3 linked regions of the Macaca mulatta genome follow. The protein of the gene in region 1 purifies or fractionates together with the protein of each later gene. This does not show direct contact. Links are inferred from orthologs where the notes say so. Each region holds a gene or a part of one and is shown in the gene's direction. Other genes may lie near its edges.

What was found.
Region 2: the proteins of CDYL (region 1) and MIER1 purify together in Homo sapiens (co-immunoprecipitation; 3 studies listed by BioGRID and IntAct, counting the BioPlex papers as one, with this or other methods). This does not show direct contact. The link is inferred for Macaca mulatta from reciprocal best matches to the Homo sapiens genes CDYL and MIER1.
Region 3: the proteins of CDYL (region 1) and EHMT2 purify together in Homo sapiens (affinity purification with mass spectrometry; 4 studies listed by BioGRID and IntAct, with this or other methods). This does not show direct contact. The link is inferred for Macaca mulatta from reciprocal best matches to the Homo sapiens genes CDYL and EHMT2.

What each region holds. Positions count from the first base shown.
Region 1 is NC_133409.1:178,275,191-178,277,522, reverse strand, and holds the end of CDYL (chromodomain Y-like protein), read left to right. Parts: intron 1-126; coding exon 127-285; 3' UTR 286-1,766; downstream 1,767-2,332.
Region 2 is NC_133406.1:173,690,309-173,694,662, reverse strand, and holds the start of MIER1 (mesoderm induction early response protein 1), read left to right. Parts: upstream 1-1,455; 5' UTR 1,456-1,494; coding exon of another isoform or gene 1,495-1,498; coding exon 1,499-1,561; intron 1,562-1,666; coding exon 1,667-1,847; exon of another isoform or gene 1,848-1,999; intron 2,000-2,601; coding exon 2,602-2,702; intron 2,703-4,354. UniProt on the Homo sapiens protein: Transcriptional repressor regulating the expression of a number of genes including SP1 target genes. Probably functions through recruitment of HDAC1 a histone deacetylase involved in chromatin silencing.
Region 3 is NC_133409.1:150,423,158-150,426,810, forward strand, and holds part of EHMT2 (histone-lysine N-methyltransferase EHMT2), read left to right. Parts: intron 1-2,692; coding exon 2,693-2,827; intron 2,828-2,952; coding exon 2,953-3,067; intron 3,068-3,230; coding exon 3,231-3,332; intron 3,333-3,551; coding exon 3,552-3,653. UniProt on the Homo sapiens protein: Histone methyltransferase that specifically mono- and dimethylates 'Lys-9' of histone H3 (H3K9me1 and H3K9me2, respectively) in euchromatin.

The sequences.
Region 1 (2,332 bases):
ACGTCTGGTAACCTTTTGAACAGGTGATTGTTGGAATTGGATGATCGCCTCCATAAATGTGGAGGCACAAGGGACCCGTGTCTGCCAGCACGCACCCTGCTAACTAGCTCTTGTTTTCCGGCGCAGGTGCTTGAGGAATCCAAAGCCCTTGTGCGCTGCAACATGAAGATGGAGCTGGAGCAGGCCAACGAGCGGGAGTGTGAGGCGCTGAAGAAGATCTGGGGCTCGGCCCAGGGGATGGACTCCATGTTAAAGTACTTGCAGAGGAAGATCGATGAGTTCTGAGTGTCGGGCTGCCCACTGGTGACACCGGGATCGGGCTGAGCAGAACTTCACTGGCTCCAGTTGCCCTGATCCATTCTCACAGCCTGAAACAAGCTCACCCGTAGCTTACACTTGGAAGCAGGACTGGGAACATCCACGCTATTTATTATCAAGGAGTTTTAAAGTACTGTAACCTTAAAAAAATAACTACAAAGCTTCTTTGTCCAAACGTCATTATTTTATACTTAGATACACGCAAGTGTAAAAGTATAAAGATGGGCACTAGACTGCTCTTAGAAGCTCTAATTTTTGTTTTCTTTGGCTAGTACTGTATAAAAAACAGAATTGTGTTTTACTGGTTTTGGATGACAGAAAAGTCTGGAATAATGTTTGTTTTCCTCATTTCTTCCTTCTAGAACGCAGAATCTACAGGGGTATTAGCCAACCTCACCTGCCCTGCCCCACTTAGAGACACCGTGATCTGAGGCGTTGGCTTTTTCTCTAAAAAGGTACAGATACCTCAGATTCGGGAAACTCTAAATCAAAAGACTCAGCTTCTAGGATAAATATTTCTGATGAAAAATCCACTGAGAAGCTTACCCTCAAACCAGACATATGCTTAGGATTCAGGCTGAGATATCAATTGGTTTCTGCTTCTTTTTTAAATATGTCCAGTTCTTACCCAGTTAACATGAAGAAACCACTGTCTCTAGAAGAAAGCTTGTTTTGCAGTATTAGTGAATCACTGAATAGCTTAAGTATGACTAAGTTATAAGTTAGTCTTTAGTGGGTTTTAAATAGTTTTTCTGACCCTTCTGAAAAATAACTACATAAGTGCTTCTTGTTGCTGGTTGAGAAGTACTACTTTATAGACAGTTTTGGTTTTCTATTTGCAGATATGATTGATGTATTACACCAAAATAAAATATTTTTATGTTTATAAAGTGTAATTTTTAGGTTCACTTAGAATATATTTTATTTAATAAGTTAAAATTCTTTTGGCACACTATTAAATGCAAAAACTCCTTTCAAAACAAAAAAGAACTACCTTATATTCACCATTTAATGTTCTTGGTCTCTGCTTTTATGTCTATACAGTATACTGAGCTCAGTGTGGTGTCCACGAGTGCCCTGTGTGGATAGACACGTGCTCTTCTTCCAGGAGTGGGTACTGACTCCAGACTCCAGATGCCTATTATTAGGCTTCTGAGCTTGCAATCATATTGAATGTATGAAGAGCGAAATAAAATCAAATTCTTATTTTTGTACAGTTTTGAAGTTTATACTTAGAACTGACCACCTCCCCGGCCACGTGGAGAGCTGTACAGTGTGTAAATCTGCCTTTATCTTGGATTGATTAGTACAGTATTTTTGCATCTGTGGGACCTACCTTTTCGTTCCGTAGTTTGAACTATATATAAACTGTACAATCTGTAAAGTTTTTATAGAATAAATATTCAGCTGTGAAAACTGGTTAAATAAAACTAATATTTCTTAACACATCTGAAATGTTTCTCTGATTCTTGTGAGGTTTCTCCTGGGATGTTTTCTCTCTGTGTGTGTGTGTGTGTGAAATATACATATGTGTGTAAAGCATCTGTACAGTTTAATGGAATGAAACCCTGCATGACTATCACCTGGGCAGGACCTATAATTTGACCAATATCCTGCCTGGTCACCTTCACCCAGGTGACCATTTCCTGAATTTGTGTCCATCATCCACTTCTTCTAAGAACTTATTCCTAAAATAAATTACTTTTAGTTCTATGTATTTTTAACCTTTATATCACAAAAAAGCTTCTGTGACTGACTTCATTCAGTGTTACATTTTCTCTTACATAGAGTTGTAACTTACCCCTCCTCTACCCAAACCTGTCATGTGGCTATTTTCACTCCTGTTTTGCAGATGAGGAACCTGAAGAATTAAACACATGCCCAAGGTCGTGTAGGTAATTTGATCAGGAGTAGCACCAAGCTTTTATCCAAGGTCGATGTGGCAAAGCACATATTCTGACAAAGACACTAAGATGTCTGTTGTAGAATTTACAAATAGGGAACCAAGTGAAAT
Region 2 (4,354 bases), on another chromosome or scaffold:
AAATACAGCTTTTCAAAGCTCAAGAAGTAACAAACTAGACCAACGCTGCTTCATTGAACAAAGAATGAAACTGTGGATCAGCCATTGTATTTGGCTGCATGGCTATTGCTGACTTGCATAGAAGCTGTTTTGGTGGAGCGGTAGGATGGACAAAAGCGTGAGTACCATATTCGAGAGAGAATGCAAGGTTCTCTCCCAAGAACTCTCAACAAGTTCCGCTGAAGAAAGATTAGCTGAGGTGGAGGAGATTGGAGAGGGGAAGAGAAAACAAGTAATTAAGGAACTTTGGAGGAACTTAGTGGACAGTATTATGGGCAGTACTAAGGAACCATTTAAAGACAAGTCCACATAGCTGTGTGCTTTTCTCCAGTCTTGTCCAACTGATGCATAACAGTAGAATGCTGGAAGCAGGAATTAGTTTTAAGGTAAGATGGTATTGAGTAGAGGACAATAAAATACCTCTACTACAGAGCACAGCAATGTTTGGCCTGGTGGCTCACAGAAGCTGAGGCTCTTGAACGTCTGGGCACAGCATGAAGGCATCAAGCTTGAGAGATTGCAGGCCTTAACAAACTAGAAGTGCTAGGAGGAAGGATGGTTCTAAACAAACCAGGTCTTTTCTCACAGAGCAAGCACAGCAGTAGAGATTTTATTTTATTTTATTTTTTAGACAGAGTCTCGCTCTGTTGCTCAGGCAGCAATGGCACGATCTCGGCTCACTGCAACCTCCGTCTCCCGGGTTCAAGCAATTGCCTCAGTCTCCCAAGTAGCTGGGATTACAGGCATGTGCCACCAGGCCCGGCTAACTTTTTGTATTTTTAGTAGAGACCAGGTTTCACCATGTTAGCCAGCCTGGACTCGAACTCCTGACCTCAGATGATCCAACCGCCTCAGCTTCCCAAAGTGCTGGGAATTACAGGCGTGGGCCACCGCGCCCGGCCCAGTAGAGATTTTTTTTAAAGACTGTGGTAGGTCGATAAAGGAGCCATTTGTCGCCTGGGCGCTTCGAGGTCTAGAGAATGAACCCAGTTGGGGTACGGCCCTTTCCAAATCCAGAAATATCTATTAATAGAAGGGCTCCCTCCGGGACCCAGGGGGATGGACTACGGTTTTAACGCCGGAACTTACAACCTGAAGTTCTGCTGCTTGTGACTGCCTGCCGGAGAGACTGGCATGGTGGCGACCAGCTGGGGAGTGGTCCACCACCCCTTTTCTGGCCGCCTCTGAAGTCCCTGTACCTCCAAGCCCCTGCGTTGGCGGTTCGGGCCGAGGATCCGGAATGTTTGCCGGGCGTCATGGCGACGGTGGAGCTCTGGCTCAACAAGCGGCCGCGCGGTTGGCTGGCGGCACGAGGCCGAGGAGGAGGGCGGAGGCGGAGGGGAGGGCAGAGGGTTGGTGGAGCAGGAGGAAGCTCCGGACGACGACTAGAAGAAGGAGGCGGGCGGCCCGGGCCTCAGGCCCCTCCCAGGCTCTGAGTCTCCCGGCTGCAGGCGGATGGATGGGGCTTCTTCAGGCGGTGGCGGCAGCAGCGAAGGTGGCGGCGGCAGCAGCGGCAGCGGCTGTAAGTGCAGCCTCCACAAGCCATCTTTCCCCTTCTGTTCCAGTTTGGGATGAGGGGCTCCTGAGGTGTCCTCAGTCCCCTTTCTCTCCTTCCCCTCCCCCACAGCAGTGTACCGCCCGGAAGACCCTTAACTTCCGGGGAGGGGCTGCCTCAGAACGCGCCTGGCTTGCTCGCCGTCGGCGGCCGAAGGCGCATGCGCAGCTCCCTCCCCGCCACCGCCCACTACCTCCCAGCGCCGCCCTTTTGCCTTCGCGGTGGCGGCGGCGCGCTGGGAATCCGCTGCGGAGTGAGTTCGCCTCGCCCCGTTCGCTTCGGTCCCTGATCCCAGTCGGGGTGGGGCTAAGCTGACCACCCGCTGTGGCTCCGCCTCTTTCTCCTGTATTTCCCTCACTTGTGTCCCAGTCCCAGGAGGCTCCCGCTTGCACTGCAGCCTTTATGGTGAGCAGCGCCCTGGGCCAACCTGCCCTTTTCGAATGGAGTCAGGGAGGGAGGAGAGACTCGAATAGGGTATTACTGTGAGGAAATGAGGTCCTCCTAGCGCGTGGGAGGATCCCTTGGGACAGATGCTTGCCGCTCTTTAGTCTTGTTGTTTCAGCTTGTAGTGGTTAGGTCCCTGGCCTGGAGCCTGTGTGGTCCCTGCATGCTGTGTGACCTTGAGCGAGTCACTATCCCTCTCTGGGCTTCAGTTTTCCCTATTTAAAGCTTCCTCCAACGCTAGAATTCTGTATTTCTGCAGAAGAACTTACGTAATTACAAGATTGACTTGGCTATTGAGGCCGCTTCACCGAGATGACCCGGAGTTGACTGAATCTTCTTCACTCATGGGTGGAATGAGGCGACCTATTTATTGGGTCGCTTTTATTCCTTTACCATTGGTTGCAAATTGCATGACTTAAGGCTCATTAAATGTTTTTCTAAAATTGTCATGGGATCCTTGTCCTAATTCCCGACCATCTTTTTAAACATGTGAAACGGTAGATGGTGAGCTTGTATCTCGTTTCTGTCTCCTTGCTACTGAGGCTCTCTTTCCTTTGATCCAGATGGTGTGGTCGCTCGATTCTCCCAGTGCCTGGCTGAGTTTCGGACGTGGTTAAGAACCAACTGGTTGAGGTTCAATGCAGACAAGACGGATGTGATGCTGGTAGGCAGGGGTACGCTTGGAGATTAAGGGAGGGAAAAGCCAAACTCCCTCAAGTAATGTGAGATTATATTACTCTTCTTATATGTTCCAGTGTTTGAGAATTGATGGGCCAAAAATTTCCAGAATTTGGGTGAGATAAAAATAACATGTCATCAATGTAAGAACCATAAACATACAGTTTGTAATATACTGATAAAATGGGGCCACTGGATAGAACTGTGTAAAACTTATGAAAAGAAAATCCAAAACTGTTATTTGAAGAACCAAAAGCCTACATAAGTGTTTTAGAGTGGCATTAATAATAAAAAATGAGACTAATGAAAAGATGATGCTGATTGTCACTATAGATGTGGGGCTTCTAAATGTAATAGGCTAAGTTTTTTAGATTTAGGAATTTTCAACCAAATTAGTAATTATCCATACAATTTTACCACCACATCATAAAGGCATAGTGTAGGCTGTTGCTTTTAAATAAAAATTTCAGGAAATAGTTTATAAACTAATCTCAAAAGAGACTCATGGACCCTGAAAATTGTTAGATACAGAATTTTTTAGTTTTGGATGTGTTGTATTAATCTATTTCAATCAGCTAACCCCAGAGGCTAAACTGTTATAAATACAGTATTTTCTTGGTGCATTTTGAGAGGTACCTTTTTGGATTGCATAACAGGTTTATATATGATATATATATATGTTACTTGTATTTGAATCAGGTGTTGGTACTGAATAAAAGGTTATATTTCTTAGGTATATGTAAATTGCTGAAGAAGTTTGTTCATTGGTTCGTTTAAGGTACTGGTTGAAGTAAGATTGTGATACTAAATGCTTTTGTTAAAAGCATAATAATAACTGAGGGGTTTGTGTGTGCGTGCGCCTTATAGCCTCTATAGAATTGTTTAATAATTTTGAATAGAAGATTCAGTAAATTGCTTACAAATGATTTATCAATATAATAGGAGTTTTGAGTAGCTTAATGTCATAAAAATTAATGTTAGTTTGCCCGAAAATAAGGCAGCTTTTAGGTGGGCAATAGGAGCTGAAGAGGCATTTATTCAGGCTTTCTATAGTGGTTTTTTGTTTTGGGACATTAATCACAAACCTCACATAAAATTGGAATTCACCACACTTTTTTAGTTTAAAGATTTTATACACAATTTCAACAGAACTACTGTTTTGGATATCACATTAATAAATAACAAGGTGTAATTAAGCAGACACAATTAATGGTGCATTTTCTCATGCCTTTAGCTCTGTCATGTCCTATTTTCAACTCTTCTAGTATGAATAGGCTTTAAAAATATTTTTTTTGTTAACCCAAGTATAAATATTAACTGTTTGCATTTGGATACAAAGAAGATATCTGTTGAATTAATCCAAAGTGCTGAAGAACTAAGGGTAATGGATGGAAACAACAAGGAGGTAGATTCTGGCATAATAAAAGAATGTTTTAAACATTTGAACTTTTTTTGAAAAGAGGAGCCTTTTTATGAGATATAGTGAGTCACTGGAGGTGTTTAAACATAGGCAAAAAGCCTGGTAGTAGAAGCATGATGAGAGATTACTATTTTGACAGAGTAGAGACTTGACTAAAAGATCTCTAAGGTCCCATCCAACACTAAAATTCTGTGACTAGTGAATAGTTAATTTTTATA
Region 3 (3,653 bases), about 28 Mb from region 1:
CAGGCGTGAGCCACCGCACCCAACTGCAACTCATTTTCAATGTACGCTCTGCCCATTTCATCCACAAAGGTGGCCACCACCCTGCACGTTGGATTTACGATTTTTTTTTATCAGCTAATGAAATGATCATTAAACAAACATGTACTGTTTAAAAAAAGAAAACAAAAAAGGAAATGACCAGAGAGCACTTTTTTTAAACATACGTTATACTGTTTATATGAAATTCAAAAGCATTCCATTGTCATTTATTTGCTTATTCGTTGCTCTTTGTCTGGTTTTATCTTATGTTTGCCTACACAGTAGAATGTTTAGTCTGTCTAGTTTTGTCTTTTATTTAACGTTTTATCATGAAAACTTGCAAGCATTATCAAAAGAGTAGAATAGGAAATCCCCGTGTACCCATCACACAGGTCCAGCCATTATCAGTACACAGCCCATCTTGACCCATCTGTACTTCTCCCAACACACACACGTACTAGGTTATTTTAAAGCAAGTCCCAGACCTCGTATCATTTTACCTAAATGTATTTCCATATGTGTATATATATATAAATATAAGGCCTCTTTTTGTCGTTCAACATCACTACACTACTGTTTTCACACCTAAAAAAAATTACTGATTTCTTTTTTTTTTTTTTTTTTTTTTTGAGACGGAGTCTTGCTCTGTTGCCCAGGCTGGAGTGCAGTGGCCGGATCTCAGCTCACTGCAAGCTCCGCCTCCCGGGTTCAAGCCATTCTCCTGCCTCAGCCTCCCGAGTAGCTGGGACTACAGGCGCCCGCCACCTCGCCCGGCTAGTTTTTTGTATTTTTTAGTAGAGACGGGGTTTCACCGTTTTAGCCAGGATGGTCTCCATCTCCTGACCTCGTGATCCGCCCGTCTCGGCCTCCCAAAGCGCTGGGATTACAGGCTTGAGCCACCGCGCCCGGCCTACTGATTTCTTAATACCATCAAACATCCTGTCAGTCTTCACATTTCCTCAGCTCTCATAAATGGGTTTTTGTCAAGATCCAAATGAGGCCCGCACCTTGATTTGATTAACTTTTGTCTTAGGTCGGCCGGGCGTGGTGACTCACGCCTGTAATCCCAGCACTTTGGGAGGCCGAGGCGGGCGGATCACATGAGGTCAGGAGTTCGAGACCAGCCTGACCAACATGGAGAAACCGCGTCTCTACTGAAAAAAATACAAAATTAGCTGGGCGTGGTGGTGCATGCCTGTAATCCCAGCTACTCAGGAGGCTGAGGCAGGAGAATCACTTGAACCTGGAAGGCGGAGGTTGCAGTGAGCCAAGATCGTGCCATCGCACTCCAGCCTGGACAACAAGAGCAAAATACCATCTCAAAAAAAAAAAAAATTGTCTTAGGTCTCTCTTGGTATTTAGGTTTCCCCATCTTCTTTTTGTTTGTTTGTTTGTTTGTTTTTGTGTTTTGAGATGGAGTCTCACACTGTGGCCCAGGCTGGAGTGCAGTGGCACGATCTTGGCTCACTGCAAGCTCCGCCTCCTGAGTTCAAGCAATTCTCCTGTCTCAGTCTCCCAAGTAGCTGGAATTACAGGCACCCGCCACCACACCCAGCTCATTTTTCGTATTTTTAGTAGAGACAGGATTTCACTATGTTGGCCAGGCTGGTCTCAAACTCCTGATCTTGTGATCTGCCCACCTCAGCCTCCCAAAGCACTGGAATTACAAGCATGAGCCACCACACCTGCCTGGTTTCCCCATCTTCTAAAAAAAAAATTTCTGGCCAGGCGTGGTGGCTCACGCTTGTAATCCCAGCACTTTGGGAGGCAGGTGGGTCACCTGAGGTCAGGAGACCAGCCTGGCCAACATGGTGAAAACCCATCCCTAATAAAAATACAAAAATTAGCTGGGTGTGGTCGCAGGCACCTGTAATCCCAGCTACTTGGGAGGCTGAGGCAGGAGAATTGCTTGAACCCAGAGGTGGAGGTTGCAGTGAGCTGAGATCACACTATTGCACTGCAGCCTGGGCAACAAGAGCGAAACTCAATAAATAAATAAGAAAGACATTTTTTTCTTGCCATTTATTTGTCAAAGAAACCAGGTCAGTTGTATAGAATTTTTCACATTCTGTATGACGTTGGCTGTTTGGGTAGAGATTGACACATCCTCTCTGCCCATATTTCTTGTAAACTGGTAGATCTAGAGGCGTAATCGACTTCAGGTGCCAAGAAGACTTGACAGTGGGTGCAAGTGCTTCTGGCCACATCACATCAGGATGCATGGAACATCTCATCTGGTCATTTTTCTTAGTGATAAGATTGACCAGTGGGTTCAGGTGATGGCAGCCTGAACCTTTCATATAAAATTTCTCATGAGCTTCATGTCTAGTGTTTTTAGCAACCATTGGTGGTCTTGCCTGTTTATGAACATCATAAAAGGGGGATCAAACTATGTTTATCTTCTGGTACTTGTTTTTTGTTTTTTAATTTAATGTCACATTACCAAGATCTGTGTACATTGCTGTCTATAACTGTGGCACCTTTTTCACTACTGTGCAATAGTCCATGCACCCTCTCTTTATGTGGCCCTTTTTCTCCTCTCCTACCCACACTCATCTTCCCCAGCAGCCATCCGTGGGTAGTGGCGGGGGGCAATGGTGGTGGTGGTTTTTTTAATCTATCTCATTGTCTGAGTCCTGGGGATTGGATATGTCCTGTTCTGCCTCTCTCCCAGTCTGAAGTTGAAGCTCTAACTGAACAACTAAGTGAAGAGGAGGAGGAAGAAGAGGAGGAAGAAGAAGAGGAGGAAGAGGAGGAGGAAGAGGAAGAAGAAGAGGAAGATGAGGAGTCAGGGAATCAGTCAGATAGGGTAAGAGACGGAGGCTGATATCTCCAGAGGAGTGGGAGACTGTGGGGCTGGTGGTCTGGTCCTGAAGTTGTTGGGGGGCCCCCTTGGGGTGAGGGTTCGTAACTCCTCCTCCTCCCCCTTCCCAGAGTGGTTCCAGTGGCCGGCGCAAGGCCAAGAAGAAGTGGCGAAAAGACAGCCCATGGGTGAAGCCATCTCGGAAACGGCGCAAGCGGGAGCCTCCGCGGGCCAAGGAGCCACGAGGTAAGGAGGCTCTGCTGCTTTTGGGTGCCCTCCTCCAGCCCCCGCCCAGCCCCCAGAGTGTGTGCACGCACACACACGCTCTCTCTCGCATGTCCACCTGCATGTACCCACGCGTCCAGGCACCTGTGAGCTCGCACTCTCACTCTCTCTGTCTCTGTGTCAGGAGTGAATGGTGTGGGCTCCTCAGGCCCCAGTGAGTACATGGAGGTCCCTCTGGGGTCCCTGGAGCTGCCCAGCGAGGGGACCCTCTCCCCCAACCACGCTGGTAATTGCCAATTGCCGGGACAGGGAGCCACTAGGGGGCAACCTCAGGGCAGGAGGGAAAGGGAAGGAGGGGAACCACGCCAGAGCCGGGGTGTCCATGGCCAGGCTTTAGGGGTTCTGGGGCATGGGGGTGAGGTAGGGAGGGAGTGACAGGACCCGCCAGGGGTCCCAATGGGTGAAGTTCAGGGCCTCCCTCAGCTCCTCTTTTTCTCCGTCCAAGGGGTGTCCAATGACACATCTTCGCTGGAGACAGAGCGAGGGTTTGAGGAGTTGCCCCTGTGCAGCTGCCGCATGGAGGCACCCAAAATCGACCGTATCAGCG